Drosophila melanogaster: one gene and its partners. The protein of the gene in region 1 purifies or fractionates together with the protein of each later gene. This does not show direct contact. Each region holds a gene or a part of one and is shown on either strand. Other genes may lie near its edges.

Region 1 (5,204 bases):
TAGCCACTTTCTCCTCCGCAAGCTTCGCATTGACGGTCTGCCCCAGCATCTGAGTCTTCTCCATGAAGTCTTGCAGCAAAGTTGACTGGTACTGGGGTAGGTTCTTGTCCTTGGCCGCTTTGCGGAAACTTCCTTCCACAGTTGTGTCCTCCGTATCGCTCTCCACTCGCTTGATAGCCGCCTGCACCAGGTTAGGTAACTCGTTGTCGCTGGACGAGATTCCGATATCGAGGGTGGGTTTGCTGGCCGACTGTGCCGCCTGGATGATAGCACTTAGCAGCACTCGCGGAGCTCTCTGCTGATGCACCTTCAAGGGCAGATCGTCCTCTGAGTCCGAGGAAAATGCCGAGATCTGTGACTTCTTAGACTTAGACACTTTGTCCGATTTACTAATCCCACTGGAACTTGCCAGCTTCTTGCGCTTGACCTTCACTTTCTTGCTGACCGCTCTATTTTTGGCCTCCGAGCAGCCGGACTCGGTGTCCTGGGTAGACATTTTTCTGGACTTTGGGGGTTTCTTGGTTGCTACGACTCCTAACGTGGGGCGGATGGCCGAGATTCTCATTCGCAGTCCATCGGTGTCCGAACGCTGCACGCTAAACTGGGTGGCTGACTTGATCGACTTCGACTGGCTCGATTGATCCGTAATGGAATCGGTTTCCTGAGGAGAACAACACACTTTACATATAGCATTGCATAAAGGGTGCCATTTTAAAGACTTGCCTCATTTTCACTGCCGGATTCTTGTGCGCGTTGCGTTTCCAGAACCTTTGCTGCTGCCGTCTCATTTTGGCTACAGCTCATATTTTGGAGTCGCTGGGGAGCTGCAAAGGTTCGCTTTTGTTAGCCAAGTGTTTTTAATTCGATTTGGTGGCACTCTTAATCGCCTTTAAAGTAGGTCAAACCGCGGTGACATCGTCCAAAAAAAAAACCATTACCTACAGCACACTTACGCTTGATTGTTTTCTGGGCTAGTAGTAGACCTCAGTAGTCGGTTTCGTTTGTGCCGAAATGACAATCTATTGCTGCACACATTGCATTTGCACTTTTCTTGAGCCTTAGGCCGTGGCTTGCCTGCTTCTAAAATGGCGCCGTTTTCACTTTCCCAAAAACTGCTTTGTTCGACGCCCGACGACGGCGCAACGTTGCAACGCTTCTCGCATGTGGCACATTAATCCGCGGTACCGATAATTCACTTTTTTCGCGACTAGTGGGCGGTGGCGGGGCGCATCAATTGTTATTGTTAATGTGGCGCAACAACAAAAAGCCAGGCAACCAAAAATTTACGAACATAAATAAAGAAAAAGACTGCGTTTCAGTGTGCCCAGCTGGGGTGTACGTGATGTCTACGCGACAGTGTGACCTTGCGGCGGAATTTAGCAGGCAACTATCGCGAACAATAGTGGATTCTATTCAAAAATAGCTGGAAAAAAACAAGCCGATTATTGTATAACAATGTGAAACCAGTAATATTAATATGACATTTTTTATGAATTAAAAATGAATTCTTATATTTTTTTTACTATTGTAACTAAATATTTGTTATGGGAATATATTCCTTACATGAACTCGCAAATAGCAAAATTTTAGGTGACCATAAAACTAATTATAGCAGACGATATGAAACAACAAAAAAGCCAGAATAGCTAGATTTTCTCTTTTGGGTGTGTGCACACTGGCCGAGCAGCTCGGCGATTATTATTTGTTTATTTGTAAAAACCTGGGAAATGAGTGGAAAACCGTCGAAACCGAGCAGCCCCTCCAGCAGCATGCTGTACGGCTCCAGCATCTCGGCGGAGTCCATGAAGGTGATCGCGGAGAGCATCGGAGTGGGCTCCCTGTCGGATGACGCCGCCAAGGAACTAGCGGAGGATGTGTCCATCAAGCTGAAGAGGATTGTACAGGATGCGGCCAAGTTCATGAACCACGCCAAGCGGCAGAAGCTCTCAGTGCGGGACATCGACATGTCCCTTAAGGTGCGAAATGTGGAGCCGCAGTACGGTTTCGTAGCCAAGGACTTCATTCCATTCCGCTTCGCATCTGGCGGAGGACGGGAGCTGCACTTCACCGAGGACAAGGAAATCGACCTAGGAGAAATCACATCCACCAACTCTGTAAAAATTCCCCTGGATCTCACCCTGCGCTCCCATTGGTTTGTTGTGGAGGGAGTGCAACCCACTGTGCCCGAAAACCCCCCTCCGCTCTCGAAGGATTCCCAGTTACTGGACTCGGTCAATCCAGTTATTAAGATGGATCAAGGCCTAAACAAAGATGCGGCAGGCAAACCCACCACCGGCAAGATACACAAGCTGAAAAACGTGGAGACCATTCATGTCAAGCAACTGGCCACGCACGAGTTGTCCGTGGAGCAGCAGTTGTACTACAAGGAGATCACCGAGGCGTGCGTGGGATCTGATGAGCCGCGGCGCGGGGAAGCGCTGCAGTCGCTGGGATCCGATCCTGGCCTGCACGAAATGCTTCCCCGCATGTGCACCTTCATTGCCGAGGGAGTTAAGGTCAATGTGGTTCAGAACAACTTGGCGTTGCTTATTTACCTCATGCGCATGGTTCGTGCGCTTCTGGATAATCCTTCGCTGTTTCTGGAGAAATACGTAAGAAATTTCTTATTGTATTGTTCTTTGTTTCTCATAAAAACGATGTTGTCTCCGCATAGCTCCACGAACTGATACCCTCGGTGATGACGTGCATTGTGTCCAAACAGCTGTGTATGCGCCCCGAGCTGGACAATCACTGGGCCCTGCGAGACTTTGCCTCCCGACTGATGGCTCAAATCTGCAAGAACTTCAATACCCTAACCAACAATCTGCAAACCCGTGTCACCCGGTAAATCACATCCACTTAAATTAAATAACCTTTTAACATCCATTTCCCAACCTTCAGCATCTTCAGCAAGGCCCTGCAGAACGACAAGACCCACCTGTCCTCGCTTTACGGCTCTATTGCGGGTCTCTCGGAGCTGGGGGGCGAAGTCATAAAGGTTTTCATCATACCCCGCCTTAAGTTCATATCGGAGCGCATTGAACCTCACCTGCTCGGCACCTCCATCAGCAACACTGACAAGACAGCAGCAGGTCACATCCGCGCCATGCTTCAGAAGTGCTGTCCCCCGATTCTCAGGCAAATGCGCTCAGCGCCAGATACAGCGGAGGACTACAAGAACGACTTTGGCTTCCTGGGGCCGTCGCTGTGCCAGGCAGTAGTCAAAGTTCGAAATGCGCCCGCCTCAAGCATTGTAACCCTGTCATCCAACACTATCAACACGGCACCCATCACGAGTGCAGCACAAACAGCAACAACCATCGGACGAGTGTCCATGCCCACCACACAGAGACAGGGGTAAATAACACTTTTAAGCATAAAATAAAATTCCAGCCAAGCATTTGATTCCTAATGGAAACCATGTTGACATGTCTTTTTATGCCCATTACTAAGCGGTTAAATATTCTTTTGTTTTAGAAGTCCCGGAGTCTCGTCCCTGCCGCAAATAAGAGCCATTCAGGCCAACCAGCCGGCGCAAAAGTTTGTGATAGTCACCCAGAACTCGCCGCAGCAGGGCCAGGCGAAGGTGGTGCGGCGTGGCAGCTCTCCGCACAGCGTGGTCCTCTCCGCGGCCTCCAACGCTGCCAGTGCCTCCAATTCGAACTCAAGCTCGAGCGGCAGTCTACTAGCGGCTGCACAGCGGAGCAGCGATAATGTGTGTGTTATTGCCGGTAGCGAAGCGCCAGCAGTTGATGGTATAACAGTTCAATCTTTCAGAGCATCCTAGACGCCAACTCGCTGATCATTGAGACGGAGATTGTGCGCGCACCGCCCGAGCTGGACGATCTCTCGCACCTGGAGTAGCCAGCTTAGTTCGTAGTCCACATTTTGTCATATTGTATGCAATAAAATAAAAAATGCGGGTTCCTACCCCAAAAAAATGTAACCACACAAATAGGAAGAATATTAAATCATTATTTTCACACGTTTTGTGTAAAATGGATTTAGTTCTTCTTAGCAAGCAAAAAAAAAAACATTATTTAAGGATTTCCCATAGAAATATTAAGCTACAGTTCTGTAAATAACGAACTGTTGAAATCAACTGACTGCTCTCCCACCCCACAAATCGAAAGCTTGCCCACGCAGTCAGCACGCATGTGCGGGTATGGGCCCCCAAGTGGCTTGCTATTGATTTCTCCAGCGCATTGCTGGGTGAACGCACAAAGAGCTCTGCTCAGCACTCCTTGTAGATACCCATCGCAGGACAAAGGCAAAGCTCGAAACGCTTCTGGCAGCATTTTCAAAGGATAAAAAGGAATTCTCACAAAAACCCAGGAAAGATGCATGCCAGATTTGCGGATCCCGAGCCAGCGTCTCCGGACAGCGTTGATGGAATCGAAACGGAGTCACTGGAGGCGCGGATTGAGGCCTTCAAGCAAAATCCCCAGAACATGGCCGCGTTGCGGGAGGCGCTCGACGATGTGCTCCTGCGGGCTGAGACGGAGGCGAACAGGCGGGCAGTTGAGAGCCAGAAATCGCAACAGGTTGACCACACATATCTAATATTCGTTTTCGAGCTAACTGAACTAACTTGTAACTTCCCTTGCAGGGCAAGGAAAAACGACCGAGTAAGTATACGCAGTGTGGTTCAGTACATTTCACTTCTTAGCTATTTGGATAGTGTATTGCTTTTCCCTTTCGAGCACTTCAGCGCAAACCCTTGCCAAGTGCTGGCCGCTGAATAGACACTTGTGCACAAATCCTTTTCTTAGTCTTGCTTAAGTATTTTTGTATCGATGACTTTCGTGGCAATGAACTCGCTTGACACCTAAGAGTGCCTAGGCTAAAAGTTGGTGGATGAGGTCTAAATCTCAAATATTGCAAATATTTAGGAAAGTATAATCTTCGTGCTGAAATTAAGAGAACTGTCGCGTAATGTTGTAACTTGTTTGATAAAAGTGGGCTGACCTAACTAACTGATGACAGGGCGACCGTTGTGGGCCTCCTCCACGGTTGTTAACAGATGGCAATTAAAACTGAGGAAAGCATATAATTTAGAATATATAAACGCATTCGCACGCCATTTTCACCCATTTTCCAAAAAACCCAGCCAGCTCGATTGCATGACCATATTTTGTTGCACTTAACTTGTATTTTGCGTATCACTGATCTTTATTTCCGTATTTTTGTACTCTCTGCGCCTC
Region 2 (4,252 bases), on another chromosome or scaffold:
CAGAGCGCCTATGGCATCGGGCAACTTCTTCAAGGGATTTCCCCGTACGCCCAGCGTCTCGAGGTGTTCACAGTTACGAATTTCGTTGGGCAGCTCCAGGAGCCCAGTATTATTGCACCAGAACGTCTCCAGCTGAGTGAGGTATCCCAGTTCGGGTGGCAAACTACTAATGTTATTGCAGCTGATGTTGAGAAACTTCAGCCGGACCAAACGACAGATGCAGAGCGGGAATTCGTCCAGTTTATTGTAGTCCAACGTGAGGACCTGAAGTCGCATCAAACTACCAATGGAGGATGGAATCTGTGAGTCAAGGGATTGTGAGTCTATTATTTCATTGGCTATCTTGTGCACCAGGTGCCACCTTTGTTAGCTTGTTTTGGTTGAGGAACAGCTTCATCAGCGTCTCGCACTTCTCTATGATGCCCGGAACGTCGGAGATTTGGTAGTGGGACAGATTCAGGGAGAATGCCTTTTTGTATATGGCATCCTCGCAATTGGCCAGCACGTAGTTGTTGCGGAAAAACTGACAAACCTTCTCCATGTCGCCCTTATTAAGTGTTTACTTCTGCAGCACTTGAATTTGGTTGTCTTGGGTTCCAAACTATTTCACACTCTTTGGAAAACCTACTCTGTTTTTGGCGCTAGTAGCTTAGTTTTCAGGCCTTGTCTTTTGTAGTTTCGAACTGTCGCCCGATTTGCGCGTTTTTTCGTTTGTTTTGAGTGCATGTTATATAACGATTCTCGGAGTCTATATATGCACAAAAATCTCTATTTGCTGCACTCTCTTTTGCCTGCCTTCTCTTCCCAAGCTGATGAACTAAAATTAAAAATTTCATTTCCTGGGTAAAGGCATGCGCAAAATGCTAGATATTGGCAATAGGGTAGTTCTATTTTAAAATTGGTACATTGTCGCTTGTAATGTTTGTCGCACAAGGAAAGCTCAACATTTGACATTACCCATTCTCAGCTGCTAATTGGCAAAAAGCTCGTCTTTCTATCGGTTTATATAAATAGATTGTAAATTACCGAGCCGCTCTCAGTTGAAATTGAGCTCAGTGACTGGAAACTGCATCATGAGATCGTGTACTTTACTTGTTTTCATAGTGAGCACGCTGTTGTTTGCCGGTAAGTCAAGTGTGGGAACCACTAGAACCGCCACATCCATTCAACACTCTCTCTCTATTTTTCTCCAGTGACAAATGCGCAGCAGAATTATGATGGAAGAAATGGTCCCCATGAGTTCGGCACACCTGGAAACGGCATTTACATACGGGGTCAGAACGAAGGACCCTACACAGTGCCCGAAATGGGAGGAACGTTCCAAAACTCACCCTCAAGTGGGCAGCATTCCTACACCGATGAGCACGGAAATACTTACACCCATTCCTCAACGGCAACTGTCACAAGTTTGGCCTATTCAACCTTCGGTTTCAGCATGGGCGGCGTTCTCATTTTTCTAATTAGTTTAATAACCATTTAATTGCACTTTCCAAGTGCAAAAGTTCCAATTAATTAATTTTTAACACATCGTTTTTCAGTTCACGCCCACGAAAATCTATTGCTGAAACTGCATAGATGAGAATAACCATTTTCCTTCTAAGTATTATGCACTATTATTTATTCGCTATTTCTTTTGTTCACCTTATACACAAATTATTTAGCTATTAAACAGAAGTACAACAAAGTATACTTGATTCTTTTGAAAAGTGCGCCATTTTAGTTATCGATTGGCAACAACGTAAGGGAGAGATTTAACGTATAAGAAATATTTGAAACGTTGAAGTGTGATTTTTAACTAAACATTAAAATACAATCAAAGATAATTATTGTTATAATTATTTTCATACATATTTTCAATGAAATACTTAAATGCTAAGAACGTAACGATAAACGTAAGACCCAGCCAGCTATCGATAGTTGCGGCAAAATGCAGCGCTGACTTTGCCATTCTCACAAAACGAGCCACAGGTACAACGACGAACGCGGTTGCATTACATTATTATTATTATTACTATTAAATTAATTTCCCGCTCTGTGGGTATGCAATTAAAACCCAAAGTTGAGCCCGTTCAGCAATCTTGAATTGAGTCACTGAAAAATTCACCGGAGTCCACAATAAACCATCTGTAAGATGGACCAAATGCTAAGCCCCAACTTCTCGATTCCGAGCATCGGAACGCCGCTCCACCAGATGGAAGCGGACCAGCAGATAGTGGCCAATCCTGTGTACCATCCTCCGGCTGTATCGCAGCCGGATTCGTTGATGCCGGCACCCGGTTCCAGTTCCGTGCAGCACCAGCAGCAGCAACAGCAGTCGGACGCCAGTGGGGGATCAGGTCTCTTTGGCCACGAACCATCGCTCCCGCTGGCGCACAAACAAATGCAGAGTTACCAGCCATCGGCCTCCTATCAGCAGCAGCAGCAGCAACAGCAGCTCCAGAGTCAGGCGCCCGGCGGCGGTGGGAGCACTCCGCAGTCCATGATGCAGCCGCAGACGCCGCAGAGCATGATGGCCCACATGATGCCCATGAGTGAGCGGAGTGTGGGCGGTTCGGGGGCCGGAGGTGGCGGAGATGCCCTGAGCAACATCCACCAGACGATGGGCCCCTCCACGCCGATGACACCAGCCACACCAGGTTCCGCTGATCCCGGTATTGTGCCACAACTTCAGAACATCGTGTCCACGGTTAATCTGTGCTGCAAACTGGACCTCAAGAAAATAGCATTGCATGCGAGAAACGCCGAGTACAATCCTAAGCGATTTGCGGCTGTGATTATGCGAATCCGAGAGCCCCGGACCACCGCCCTTATTTTCAGCTCCGGCAAGATGGTGTGCACAGGGGCAAAGAGTGAGGACGACTCCAGACTGGCAGCGAGAAAGTATGCGCGCATCATCCAAAAGCTCGGTTTCCCTGTAAGACAAGACTTTACATTTCCTTTCTCTTCCCGGCGAATCTCTAACGCTTTCTCTCCCGCAGGCAAAGTTCCTCGACTTTAAGATTCAAAACATGGTCGGCTCCTGCGATGTCAAGTTCCCCATACGCTTGGAAGGCCTGGTGCTGACCCATTGCAACTTCAGCAGCTACGAGCCTGAGCTATTTCCCGGCTTAATCTATCGTATGGTGCGACCTCGAATCGTGCTCCTCATCTTCGTGTCCGGAAAGGTGGTGCTCACTGGAGCAAAGGTGCGGCAGGAGATCTACGATGCCTTCGACAAGATATTCCCCATTTTAAAGAAGTTCAAGAAGCAGTCATAAATAGGATAGCGCTTTATTAGTTCTGTACGTGTACGTTTTAAGGTCGGTAGTTCTGGAAGTCTGATCATATGAGTGGGAGCAGCCTGGCGAGCAGCTCCGATCGAGAATAAACCACAAAGTAATTTAGCTGTACGGACAGGCTTTTATTATTATTTTTTTTCCGTTAATTACTATTCGTAAAAATTTAGACAAGGACTATGAACGCGAATGAGGTTCCTACAGGCACTGGGCCATCAGGGCGCCCACGTTGTCGAACTCGATCTTCTCCGTAATGTTCTTCGTCTTGATTTTGTCGTCCTGCATGGCCACGATGACGAGTCCCTGGCCCTGGTTCTTCCAGCCATTGCGCTTGATCCAGCTCTCCAGCGTCGAGTCCTCGATGCCGCCGAGCAGCTCCTTAAGCAGGTCCTTGCGAATTGTCTGGAATGTGGTGCCCACCACATGCGAGACGAACTTGCGAATTGAATCGTGGAAGCCGGTGATGTGGCGGAACATGTTGCGGTTCACCTCGGCCCGCTGCCAGAAGAGGGTGAAGTCCGCCCGCTCCAGTATGTCGGCGAGGTCGATGATTGTCTGCACATTCTCGTCCTTCATCTGCTGGGGCAGCAGCAGGCACTTGGCCATCACGAAATCCGTGTGCGGCAGGCTGGTCAGTGACTTCAGCAGAATGGTGTACGTGATGTCGAAGTTCAGCATGTGCGGGTTGAACTGGTACAGTTTCAGCACGGCCAGGTTGGCCTCCAGGTCGTAGGTGTTGTTCTTAGCCTGATCCTGCACATAGGACTCCAGTGTTTTCAGATGATCTGGGTTGTAGCTGCGGCAAAAGCGAGGTTATGTTTTTACTAAGCATCATAACTGAGTGAATTTGTGCAGTTCTTACCGCTCGATGCAGCCCAGCATCTCCTGGATGGTCTGGCTCTGGCCGTTTTCCATTTTCACGAGGTGCGACATTTTCTACGGCTAATTTGTATGAAATTCGCAAGTTGACGTCGTGT
Region 3 (5,595 bases), on another chromosome or scaffold:
TAAACACTTTCCCCGCATGGCTTGGATATATGCGCGAGTCGTGTTCCAAGGAGCCACCTTTACTTCGTCGTCAAGCTTCAGCTGCGCCTCCTCGTCGTCATCTTCCTGAGGTGCGAACAAAAACTTTTCTCCATACCCAGCATCCTGAAACCAGAAAAAATAAAATATAGAGCTCAGCAGAACAAGTAAGATTAAACAAGACTTCGCAAACACATACCTTTAAGCGTTGTTCCGCCGCTATCATGCTGAAGTACGCGCAACACTGCTCAGGTGACACCATGGCTCGGATCTCCTCCTCGGATGGAAGGCGAAACTCTGGCTTTATAACCCACCAATTGGAGTCCATGCCTGTTCGCTTGAAGTCAGCGCACTGCTTTAAACGCTTGCGGATGCTGCTCTCGGAATGAGCGGGAAAAGCCTGTTTTATATCGTCCATTCGAATGCGGCGCGGGTTGTCGCGACTTTTCCAGAACAGGCGGTAAATAAACACCTGACCAAACAAACAAATTGTTAGCAATTGAAAGACAGATTAGATCTTTGGACTTGCCTGCAGAAAGTCACGGGTGAAGTTGTTGGCCCTTTTGGAATTCGGACCGGGTACCTCGTACAGCGGACACTCCTGACCCACGGTGTATATTGAATTCACCGACCGTATCCAGTAGTTGTTCCGCGTGCGAATGACGAGGAAATCGTTGTGAGCCATCTTATGTGGATAAATAGGCGCTCGGTACATGTTGTTCTCAATCGCCTGTATGCACTGGCCAGGATGCAGGATGCCCAGGAAGGGACTTGTGTGCGCAAAGGCCACTTCTCCATAAACAAAATCCTGCGGCCCACTGTCCTTCTCAGCCTTACGCTTGTAGTAGTTCTTTATCTTGGAGCACATGCCCACCTGGTTTATCAGAGGCGGATGCTCTTCGCAGAACTCGGCTAGTACGATGTCTCCGTCCCTTCCGCTTAAATCCTCTGGGTTGCGCATAAAGAAGACGTCTCCGCCACCGGAGGCAATGCGCTCCACTTCGCGCTGCTTCGCCTTCTTTGCGATGGTCTTCAGCAGTGGGAAGACAGGATGAGGGATAGACTGGGCCATTGGCCCGTGGGAGTACTTCTTTAGGGGGGGGCGATGGAAGGCGCGGAGCTTCATCGGGCCCATGTGCGTAGGCACAAACGGAGCTCGCAGCTCTACCACCGGAGTCGAGTGTTGAATAAGATTACCGCCCACCTTAAGTCGTAGGGTGGGTTCTGTCTTCGGTGTGTAGTAACTGAAAGGGAATTAAAATCTGCATTCTGCATCCATTATTATATTAAGAGACTTACGTGTCATTGGATATGTTAAAGGGGTCACGGTCAGGACTTTTGGGTGGCGGCGGAGGTGTGTCCTCCGCAAGCACGTTGATCACACCCGCCTTGCCAAGTAGGATCTTAGACTTTTTTACGTGAGGATGCGGTATCTTGATCTTAGGTGGAGGACCCGTGCTCTTATTGATTTTAGAGGGATCTATGTCATCAGGAATACCCAAAATGATGTTTTCGTCGTTGGGATCCAAAGTGAGTACCTTCGGCTTGGGCACCTTGCTCACTTGCTGGGCATCCCAGATTACCTCGTCCTCCCACTTGTAGTATATTAGCTCCTCATTTTCAACTGGAAAAAGGCTATACCAGGTGTCATCAGGTGCCTCCGCTGGCTTTGCTTGAGCACTAAAATCGATTGAAATATTAGTGTAAAATACGTATGAATTCAACTTTCAATTAATTACTTTTGCTGGGCCTTTTTGCTTGATGCTCCCGAACCCTGCTTGGAGCTTCCACTTCCCACGGGCATAGACGGTTTGCCCGGCTGGCTAAAGGCGCCAGCCGTTCTCGACCCGCTCGAGGGCAACCATCCGGCTGCATTTGTCTTTGAGTTAAGCTTTTGGAGCACCTTTGCCTTGATGTCGTTACCGTCCCAGACCACGTCGTCTTCCCAATGCAGCTGGGAGACCATGAGAAAGGCATCATCCGCAATGCTTGGATCTTCGACATCATCTTCTGGACTCTTTACACGGCGTTCATCTTTGAGTTGCGGCTGAGACGAGGTGCTTGCTGCCTTTGTCTTGAAGCCATAGTTGAACCCCTCTCCAGAGTCGGGCACCTCTAGCATATCATACCAAATCTGTGCAGGCCCGAACCGCCAGTCAGCCACCTTTGGCTTCTGATCGCTGTTCTCGCCGTTGTCCGGTCCTTCTGGACGCACATCCTCGCTGTTGAAGTCGCCCAGCAATTTGTCCTCGTCGTCGGACATGCACTCCGCTGGCGTTGGCTCTGCAGCATAGTGCAGACTGAAGCCCCGCTTTCGTGGCTCCTCAGTATCGCTTGGAGAGTCCGAACCACCAGTGTTTGTCGTCTGAAATGGTTTACGAAAAGTTTCCTGGTGATCCCGTCCCGTTTAAAAGTACTCTGATCTTCTACCTTCTGATCCCTGGATTGATTTCGCTTGCGGCGGCGTTTGCGCACGTGTCGCCAGATCTGGGGCAAACTCGTGGGTTTACCGGGTCCGAAGAGACGGGAGAAGCGTAGCACCTTTTGGGGACGAAAGTCCGGAAAGAGCTCACGCACATCCACATTCTGGTACTTGGACGGCAGTATGTCTGCCAGTGGTGTGTCCAGCTTCCGATCCGCATCTTAAAGGAATGACCATTGACAAAAAAATTCTATTGTTTTCAAATAATTTTTACCCTTTGAATCGGTAGATTTGGAATCGTCACTGGGACTAGATGCATCATTTGACTTGGCCGGTTCCTCGATGCCGCCGCCAGAGCCGGAGCGCATTGGTGCACTTGGTGGAGGCATTAGTTCCTTGTCGTCCTTAGCTGCAACAAAATGTGAGTTATTCTCTCTGTATAGCAATAGGTCTGAACCCAACCTGAGCGGTGCAAAAGTAATCGTGTCACTTTGACAGGAATTGCATAGACCTTTAAAAATTTGAGCAATATCCTCTCCTACCAGTGTTAACTGGTTAAATTAAATGTCATCAAACCGTTGTAGATTACGGTCTTACTTACTCAACTTGGCCTCTACCTTGGAGGCGGGAATGGCGTCTTCTAAGTCATCATAAGTGCTTGTTTCTTCGGGCGGAGTGCGTGGGCAGTCCTCGGATAACTCGGTGATGTCAGAGTAGTCAATGGCATCGTCCTGAGCCTTTACGGCGCCATCCTCCCTTTTAACGCCCGCTTTGAGCGCATCAAAGGCACTCATTCCTTCGCTGGCACTGACGGCTGACGGTCTGGCGTCCTCCTCTTCCTCGTCATCCGACGGAGGCTCGGCTTCCTTGAGATCGATAACCTCGAGCAGCATAGAATCCAGACCCAATCTGAAAGTAATCCATACGCAATATGAATGGAAATGTAATTAAAAGTGTCTTATATCTTGTGAATTAAGATATATTTGAATGATACCGGGTTTACATATGTATGTACAAGCATGTGTACTCACTTGGAAAGGGAACCAATGTTTTCCCGGAGCTCCGCATCGAAACCGGTGCCCCCGCGCCCCTCTCCGTCGTCATCTTGCAGCAGTCTGCCCTCGGAGTCGATGTTGCCGAAAAGAATGCCGGTCAAGTCCAATCCATTGCCGATCGATCCCTCATCGTCGCTGTTGTCAGATTCCATCTCCATTTCTATGGGCTTGCAATGTTTACGCGGCTAAAGTATATTTTCTTCGACGGAGTGTAATTGCATTTTTCACACGCGTAAGTGTGACCGTCGATGGACAAAGCAAAGATGCCTCATGGCTCCCCACTGGCACCAGAAAATCCGCGATTAGATTTGGACAAGGGTTGGGAGCTTGGGAAGGTCAATTGCGTTTTGTACCGAAGGTTAGTGTCCAACAAAAAGGGCTCTGTAATATTTTTAATTGGCAATTTTGTACCATGTATGGCATACGTGGATTTTTATTAAAAAATATATATTCCTTTGATATTCGTACATTTCATTTGTATAATTATATATTTCTGAATAGAACTTCTGTAAACACCATTAACACGATCACTTTTGTTCAGCTTCTATCAAAATATAACTTTATTCAGCCAAAAATAGTTTATTCAACGCTCATTGGAGAAAAAATGGGCATACATAAGCACTACAATGCCAATTTAGAATTACAGTTCTCAGACCTACATTTGTGTTACGGTTTTGTAACGTTGAAGGAGCTATATTTCTCTATTGTTGTTCAGATTTTACAGAAATCTGTAGCAAACAATCATAACTACTTCAGATAGCAAAAACTTAAACCATCAATTTTTATATATTTCTTATTATTCATTTTTTATTATAAATATATATATGTTTATTTTCAGAAGTCTCTTCTTAACTTGGTTTTACTCAAACGATTTTACCAACTGCGCTTTCTCTAGCTGAGAATCGTTTTAATGATAATCTCGAAGAGACTATCCACAACTTTGGGATTTGTACTGTCACAAATTGTCATATTTGTACCAAAGAACTGCATGGGAATGTAGGATTTTTATATGCAGGCTTTGAACTATTTGAACGGATTAAAGGAAGAGTACGCTGAGCTCACAAATTTAGTCACCTTCAAGAATCCGATCCTGAAACTTTTACATCAAATGAATCTATGGTTTTTCAATAGATTTTCGTTATAAAATGTATTTCTGATGATTAAACCGGCTGAAAATTCGTTTTCATGGCTTAAACTCTAAAGAATCATTTTAATTCAAGGCAGCATTTCTCTAGGACACAAACCAATGCCATTGTGTACATTTTTTTGCTAATCTCTTTCCGTGACCGACTTCATTGTACCTCAAATTAATTATATGTTTTATAACTTACCTTTACCAAGGCTTCTGTTCCCAGATATGGAAAACCACAAAGTGGGAAAATTTAAAGGTAGACTAGTAAAAATCGAATATTTTTTTGTGTTTCGTCTTTTTGGAATTTCCCTTCATTATAAAATGCCTCAAATTAAATTTTCGAAACTTAATTATCCACGCTGAATGAATGATATAATAAAAATAAATATACGTATATTTACGTATACCGACCGTGATCAGGACTTAAGCCACTTTGAAGCTTGGAGATGGGTGGCAAGTATTTACGCTGTTGCAGAAAGAATATGATCATTAAGATGAGAAAGTGGCTGCGAAAAGCAAAGTGAATCTTGTGTTTTTCAGTACAATCCCTCAGAATGTCGCACTTGATATTCGAGTTTTTGTGTAGGACGAGGACTAGAGGGTTACTGCCTGCGATAGCTTTTAGAAAGGTCTACCTAGAGGGGGAATATTTAATGGAATGGCTCTGGATATGCCATCTCCATGCTTAAAGAAATCTATAGTTCTTGTTTCGCTGTATAACGCACTGCTGTTACCTGTCACCAACACGATTATCAGGAGAACTCCATGACATTCCATACATGTGTTTACTAATATCCACATATAGATCGAGATTCGTGTCAGCCCGCACCAAGCCAAGTCCCGTCATTGGGACACGGTCGGACATGGCGGGGCATGGGGGGACATGGAGGGTCACACGTTCATACGGACAATATTGTAAAATTACATGAGATGTTTTTACTTGAGAGGGTATGTAAACTTAGCTTGCC
Region 4 (5,728 bases), 3.5 Mb from region 1:
TTGCACACTTCGCAGTAGTGCAGCTGCTGGGGACGTGGAGGTGCCTTCGGACGCATACCCCTTATGGCCGTTGCTCCTGGTATGGTGGCTCCCATCTTACGCTGATACCAGTTATTGGCGCCGCCATTTGGTTTTTGGTTTGGATTGCCCTGATGCTGTTGGGCCACATACATGCTTGCCGCATTGTAGAGTGCTGTATCATAGCCACTGTAATTGTTGCCCGCCGGAGGAGCCGAACTAGGGGGCTTGGGACCACCGTTCGACTTGTCCATCTTGCCCTTGACCTGATTCTTGACTGGCGGAGCCGAGTAGTGCGTCTTGCTGACCGAGGCTGTCGAACCGGAGGCGTTGTAGCTGGCCGGCGACTGCTGATAGAATGTCTTGGTGGCGTCGTATTGCATGGCACTTCGATAGTCGCCGTAGCCACCATAACCCCCCGCCCCAGGGCCAGAGGTGGCGCCAGCGCCCGCTCCTGCTGCTCCGCCATAACCACCCTGTCCGGCGGCCACAGCGGCATTCTGATAGGCGGCCGCATTCGCGTAGGTGGCATTGGTTACCGCCGGGTACGAGACTTGGCCCGTATTGTACTGGGTGCCGCCGTAGTTAAACCCGGCGTAGTTGTTGTTGGCCATTGTCGCGGTGCGCTGCAATTACGAAAATCGAATTTGTTTGACAATCTGTCTGCGGTTTACTAGTTTACCATTGGCATTTGCATTTGCATTTTGGACCTGCCCCCATCCCCACCAAGTGCTCTACTTACATTAGCTGTCCTATCCGACTGACTGTCAATATTTATGGGACTTCGAATGCGGATTTATTCGGGAATTTATATGTGCTTTCCGAGTAATAGCCTGTTTATAGCTGTAAAAGCAAAGTGGTCTTAGTCACGTCATGTTGAGAAAGGAGCTCCCCCCACCACTTTCCCATCCGTTTTTCATCTGCTTTTCTCTATCGATTTTTACCCCGCAGCTTTGGACGCACTTTTCGCGTGTCTGGCCCACATGCGAGTGAGCACACGTGGCGATCTCTTTTCCAACGGCATTTTAGCCCTAGTTGTGCATGGTTAAAAAACAGTTAATGCAAATGGCAATTACCTGAAATCGGTTAAATAAAATTTTTCTTCCGTCTCTATGGGCCGGTACTAGTGTGACCGCAGCGTAATCGGATAATCATACTATGTTGAGCCCGACTTGAAACAAATACCACTTTTTATTTTTGGAAGTTTTTGGAAAATATACCATTACACTATATATGTTGCTTATTTAACGGAATTTGTTTAATATTAAAATTGGTATGGTCTATTTTATTAAGACCGCTATTTGTACGATATGTATTTAACTCGCTCTACAGAATTATTTTGCCCGTTGTGCTGAAGTTTAGCATTTCAAAGATACCGAAAACTAACAAAAATACCATCACGTTGGTGGTGGGGCATGTAGTTCGGTATCAAAGTGGAACTATCGATTGTTTGACCGTTACAAAGTACTACTCCTTCGTTTGAATATATATATGATTTAAGTATATGAGCAAATAGCGTTTAAATATAAAAAAATAATAACATTTTTGAGCATTTTCTTCAATTCTGTAATTACCTAACATTCAGCTTTAAACAGTACTCTAATAATAGTTTTAGTAGTTTCTAATTTTTGAGCGTATTCTTCATTTATTCAATTACCTAACATTCAGCTTTAAACAGTACTCTAATAATAGTTCAAAGGATTTAAAATGTATCGTATTCGAATGTATTAAAATAAATTATTTTGATCCTTAAAAATTGTGGCTTATTACCCATATAAAAACTAATGAGCATATAATTAATTTGGTATGCGGCTAAAATCCGATGGCATCAAAATGCCAGCAAACGTTTTTGGTTTTGAAAATGTACGCAACAAGGCTATAAAAAATCGACATGATATCCAAGTCACTACTTCTTTTCTAGTATTTTAATTCGGTATCGCGTTTAACACGACGATATTGTCGCCAACGGTCACACTGCACAACTCGTCCGTACCTCGGCGGTCCGTAAACAATATTTACTCGGTTTTCGGCTAAATCGCCAGAGAAACGCAACGGGAAATCGTTTAAAATGCGCCCCAGTGCACCGAGTTTGAACGCAAAATGAATTGAAGTGAGTGCATCTGCCACAGGGCCCAGAAAATTTCCCCCGACATTGCAGGCTGTACAAAACCTATACTGAAACACACGCACACAGTCGCACAGACACGGACGTGGGTTTATGCCACCACCCGCTGGCCACTAAAGTAGAAATTACTAATACTACGGCTGGCACGATGCTCCATATTGCCACTGGAGACATGTACAAGATGCATTTGTTTTCTTTTTGTTTTAAATATTTTTATGCGGATTTTCGAAAAATATGAATTTTTCCTAATAGAAATCATCAATTATTAAGTGCTCCACTTTCGAGTTGAACTTTTTTTTAAATTTAGTGCATTCACGAATATTGCGCACTCGCCACCCGCATAAACGAGCGGCATTGCCAGATCGTTGGTTACGTGTTTTTCGCACGCTATCTGGCAACGTCCACCAGCCTCGATTTTCGCTTTGCACGCGCATTCGTGAAAATGGCGGCGTTCTGGCACCGTCGCTGCCAAATTTTTTGTACATCAAAATAATCAAAATAAAGCATTCTTCCAGTGCTCAACAATCAGTCCGTGCGAGCACGCGCGAGTGTGTGTGTGCGCAGGAAAACCCGCCGATCGGGAAAAGTGTAGAAAGGCTTAGCGGCGCAAACAAAAGGCAGCGAATTAGCGAGATAACACACACGCGACAACGACTGCAACGGATGCGCCAGGAGAAAGGCCGACGACAGTGACGGCAAAGGCGAGTGCGAGTGAGCCAGCGCAGCACCAATTCAGCGGAGCACCCGCTTTTTTGGCCAAGGTGAATGCGATTACCTGTGCGCGGCATCCAGGTGTACGCAGCATCTGGTTTATGGCGCACGGCCGCCAGGTAGCCGGCGGTCAGGTAGCACCTCCACCGCCTACCTGTTTCTCCACCGCCTCGAGCCGAATCTTGTATAAATACTAAAAGCGCCTCCCCTTGCATTGCAGTTCGCTTCTGGAGCGCACAGCATGCAACAACTCCGCCAACACCAACACAGGATGTGCGCAACTAGTTGATCGGAACAGGATCGCTCGCCCACACCAACACACAGAAGTCAGTGGAATAGGAGAAACACACTCGCCAATAACATAAACACCACACAGCACGATGAACACCAGCCAGACAGCTGCCGGCAATCGCATCACCTTCACCAGCCAGCCGCTGCCCAATGGCACCATCAGCATAGCCGGCAATCCCGGCGCGGTCATCTCCACGGCCCAGCTACCGAATACCACCACCATCAAGACGATCCAGGCGGGGATCGGTGGTCAGCATCAGGGACTTCAGCAGGTGCATCATGTCCAACAGCAGCAGCAGTCGCAACAGCAACAACAGCAGCAACAGCAGACGCAATCCGTAGGTGCCACCCAAACACAAACCCTAGTTATTAAATCCAACCACCATGCTGTCACCCTGCCGGCGGGTCTAGTCTCAAGTGCACCAGCAGGAATCGTAACCATGACCAAGACCATCAATCAGGTATCCATATTAAAGCTAAACCCACTCTTCGGGCGCTAGGCGATCGCAACTCGGGCGTATCACTTCGTCCAAATCTGATCCCCAATCAAAACCCCCTCAATTCCTCGCTCGAATCGGATAGTAGTGGCCGCACACACTTTGGTTGTATACTTTTATTATGCTTTCATCTGTCTACCTCGCTGCCCGAAATTCCCATATCCTTATCCAAATGGGGTTAGTCCCAGGCTTGATAACGTATTTTACGCTTAAAAAATATCCTTAATTCATTAATGTGAAATCTGAAACTTATATCTGAGTTGAAATCTGAAACTTATATCTGAGTTTGTTGCACTCATTTTTGTACTTTTATTTAAAATTAATTTCTTTTTTTACGAATGTCATATCAATTCACTTCATTAGAACTTAAAGCAGTTTAATCACCATAAAAGACATATCTTTAATTTGAAATACTTTATCCCAATGCCGAAAAGTTTCCCAAAGATCAAATCCCTAACAACTGTTCAAAAACACGCACTTGTTCAACAGAAACCTTATTCTACACCAATATCCAAACCATTACATTTGTAGAACTATTGCTTTCAATGCTCGCTTTAAATAGAACAAGATATAGTAGATTATACGCCTTCAAATTTGGTTAGCACAGAGAGAATCAGTTAAACAACTTATTTCCGCACTAATTGGGGTCCTTTGCCGAGCCAACTGCTGCATGATGTAGGCTAATTTAGAATCCCGCAAAACCTCTTAATGCATCCTTTGGTCCAAATAGACTTTGAAAATGTGATGAGATGAATTGATAGACTAATGATAATGTTGCGTATTTGCCAGGCCGGTCAACCGCTGCTCAATTCAATGCTGCCGGCTGGCGTGGTGGTGGGCATGCGCCAACAGGCGCCGTCACAGCAGCAGCAGAAGAATGTGCCCACCAACCCGCTCAGTCGCGTGGTGATCAACTCCCACATGGCGGGCGTGAGACCGCAGAGTCCATCGGTGAGTATGAAGGATAATATTGCTATTACTATGGTTGTTGTGGTGGGTTCTTCCCTACTAACTCACAGAGCTCCCTAACCCAGCCACGCTCCTCACAAACACGCATGTGCACAGCCCACCATTCACTCACACCATACACCATACACACCATGCTCCAGCAGATGAAAACCGAGTCTCTCTGTCTTCTCTCTCTACTTTTAGATAACTTTAAGCACACTTAATACGGGTCAGACCCCGGCATTGCTGGTCAAGACGGATAACGGATTCCAGCTGTTGCGCGTGGGCACGACGACGGGTCCGCCGACGGTGACACAGACTATAACCAACACCAGCAATAACAGCAACACGACAAGCACCACAAACCATCCCACAACCACACAGATCCGTCTGCAAACTGTGCCGGCTGCAGCTGTAAGTAGATACCAACAACAACAACAACATCAGCAGCAATCGCAACAGCAGCAACAATCGCAACAGCAGCAACATGCAACCAGCACAACCGCCAGCACTAGTATTGCACTGCGCAAAACGATTGTCCGTACATCATCCACAGTCCCATCCAGCAATAATAACAATAATAGTATCAATGCCACCACCAACACCACCACCACCACCACTACCAACAACAACAACAAACCCGCTACTAACCAGCAACAGCAGCAGCAGAAGCTCCAACAGCAGCAACATCTGAAGGCCCAGCAGCAACAGAAACAGCAACAGGCATCCGCTGCCGCTGCTGCTGCAGCAGCTGCCGCCAATGTGGCAGCCACCATAAAGATCAAGCAAAACGTAAAGAGAAGCCAGCAGGATATACTCCTATTCGAACATATTTTTTGCTCTTCTCTCCTCTGTTCTCCTTTGTCTGTTATGCACTTGGATTTGATCTTCTTATTTATATAACTTATATATAACTATGCCTACGCTTCAGTTCCGTTTTGGTTCGTCACAATCGAACACTTCATTTTGATTTATCAAGAATATGATGGCATATATAATATACTGTAAATGTACTGCATGCTGCGTTGTGTAACTGTCTGTATTTTCGATACTCCTTATTTCGATTTGATTTAGTTAAATGCGCTGTACACGAGTTGCTGTTCCAGACCAAACATCATGCTAGAGGCCTGGCTATCGG

What was found.
Region 2: the proteins of Taf6 (region 1) and Tbp purify together in Drosophila melanogaster (affinity purification with western blotting; 5 studies listed by BioGRID, with this or other methods). This does not show direct contact.
Region 3: the proteins of Taf6 (region 1) and Taf1 purify together in Drosophila melanogaster (affinity purification with western blotting; 3 studies listed by BioGRID, with this or other methods). This does not show direct contact.
Region 4: the proteins of Taf6 (region 1) and Taf4 purify together in Drosophila melanogaster (affinity purification with western blotting; 2 studies listed by BioGRID, with this or other methods). This does not show direct contact.

What each region holds. Positions count from the first base shown.
Region 1 is NT_037436.4:19,597,433-19,602,636, forward strand, and holds Taf6 (TBP-associated factor 6), read left to right. Parts: upstream 1-1,655; 5' UTR 1,656-1,727; coding exon 1,728-2,612; intron 2,613-2,674; coding exon 2,675-2,844; intron 2,845-2,901; coding exon 2,902-3,357; intron 3,358-3,477; coding exon 3,478-3,787; 3' UTR 3,788-3,950; downstream 3,951-5,204. Other genes in the region: ash1 (absent, small, or homeotic discs 1), read right to left, coding at 1-661, 724-804; CG9368 (uncharacterized protein), read left to right, coding at 4,341-4,544, 4,610-4,628. UniProt on the Drosophila melanogaster protein: TFIID is a multimeric protein complex that plays a central role in mediating promoter responses to various activators and repressors.
Region 2 is NT_033778.4:21,685,332-21,689,583, reverse strand, and holds Tbp (TATA binding protein), read left to right. Parts: upstream 1-1,941; 5' UTR 1,942-2,131; coding exon 2,132-2,914; intron 2,915-2,978; coding exon 2,979-3,257; 3' UTR 3,258-3,392; downstream 3,393-4,252. Other genes in the region: CG10307 (uncharacterized protein), read right to left, coding at 1-300, 362-541; BaraC (baramicin C), read left to right, coding at 1,074-1,125, 1,194-1,480; eIF3k (eukaryotic translation initiation factor 3 subunit k), read right to left, coding at 3,474-4,071, 4,138-4,208. UniProt on the Drosophila melanogaster protein: General transcription factor that functions at the core of the DNA-binding multiprotein factor TFIID.
Region 3 is NT_033777.3:6,645,048-6,650,642, reverse strand, and holds the start of Taf1 (TBP-associated factor 1), read right to left. Parts: upstream 3,755-5,595; 5' UTR 3,654-3,754; coding exon 3,472-3,653; intron 3,350-3,471; coding exon 3,042-3,349; intron 2,979-3,041; coding exon 2,715-2,978; intron 2,661-2,714; coding exon 2,449-2,660; intron 2,384-2,448; coding exon 1,758-2,383; intron 1,699-1,757; coding exon 1,318-1,698; intron 1,263-1,317; coding exon 548-1,262; intron 491-547; coding exon 218-490; intron 145-217; coding exon 1-144. UniProt on the Drosophila melanogaster protein: TFIID is a multimeric protein complex that plays a central role in mediating promoter responses to various activators and repressors. Largest component and core scaffold of the complex.
Region 4 is NT_037436.4:16,111,238-16,116,965, forward strand, and holds the start of Taf4 (TBP-associated factor 4), read left to right. Parts: upstream 1-1,974; 5' UTR 1,975-2,128; intron 2,129-2,552; exon of another isoform or gene 2,553-2,647; 5' UTR 2,648-2,904; intron 2,905-3,070; exon of another isoform or gene 3,071-3,074; 5' UTR 3,075-3,234; coding exon 3,235-3,606; intron 3,607-4,431; coding exon 4,432-4,593; intron 4,594-4,794; coding exon 4,795-5,382; intron 5,383-5,728. Other genes in the region: Zn72D (Zinc-finger protein at 72D), read right to left, coding at 1-632. UniProt on the Drosophila melanogaster protein: TFIID is a multimeric protein complex that plays a central role in mediating promoter responses to various activators and repressors.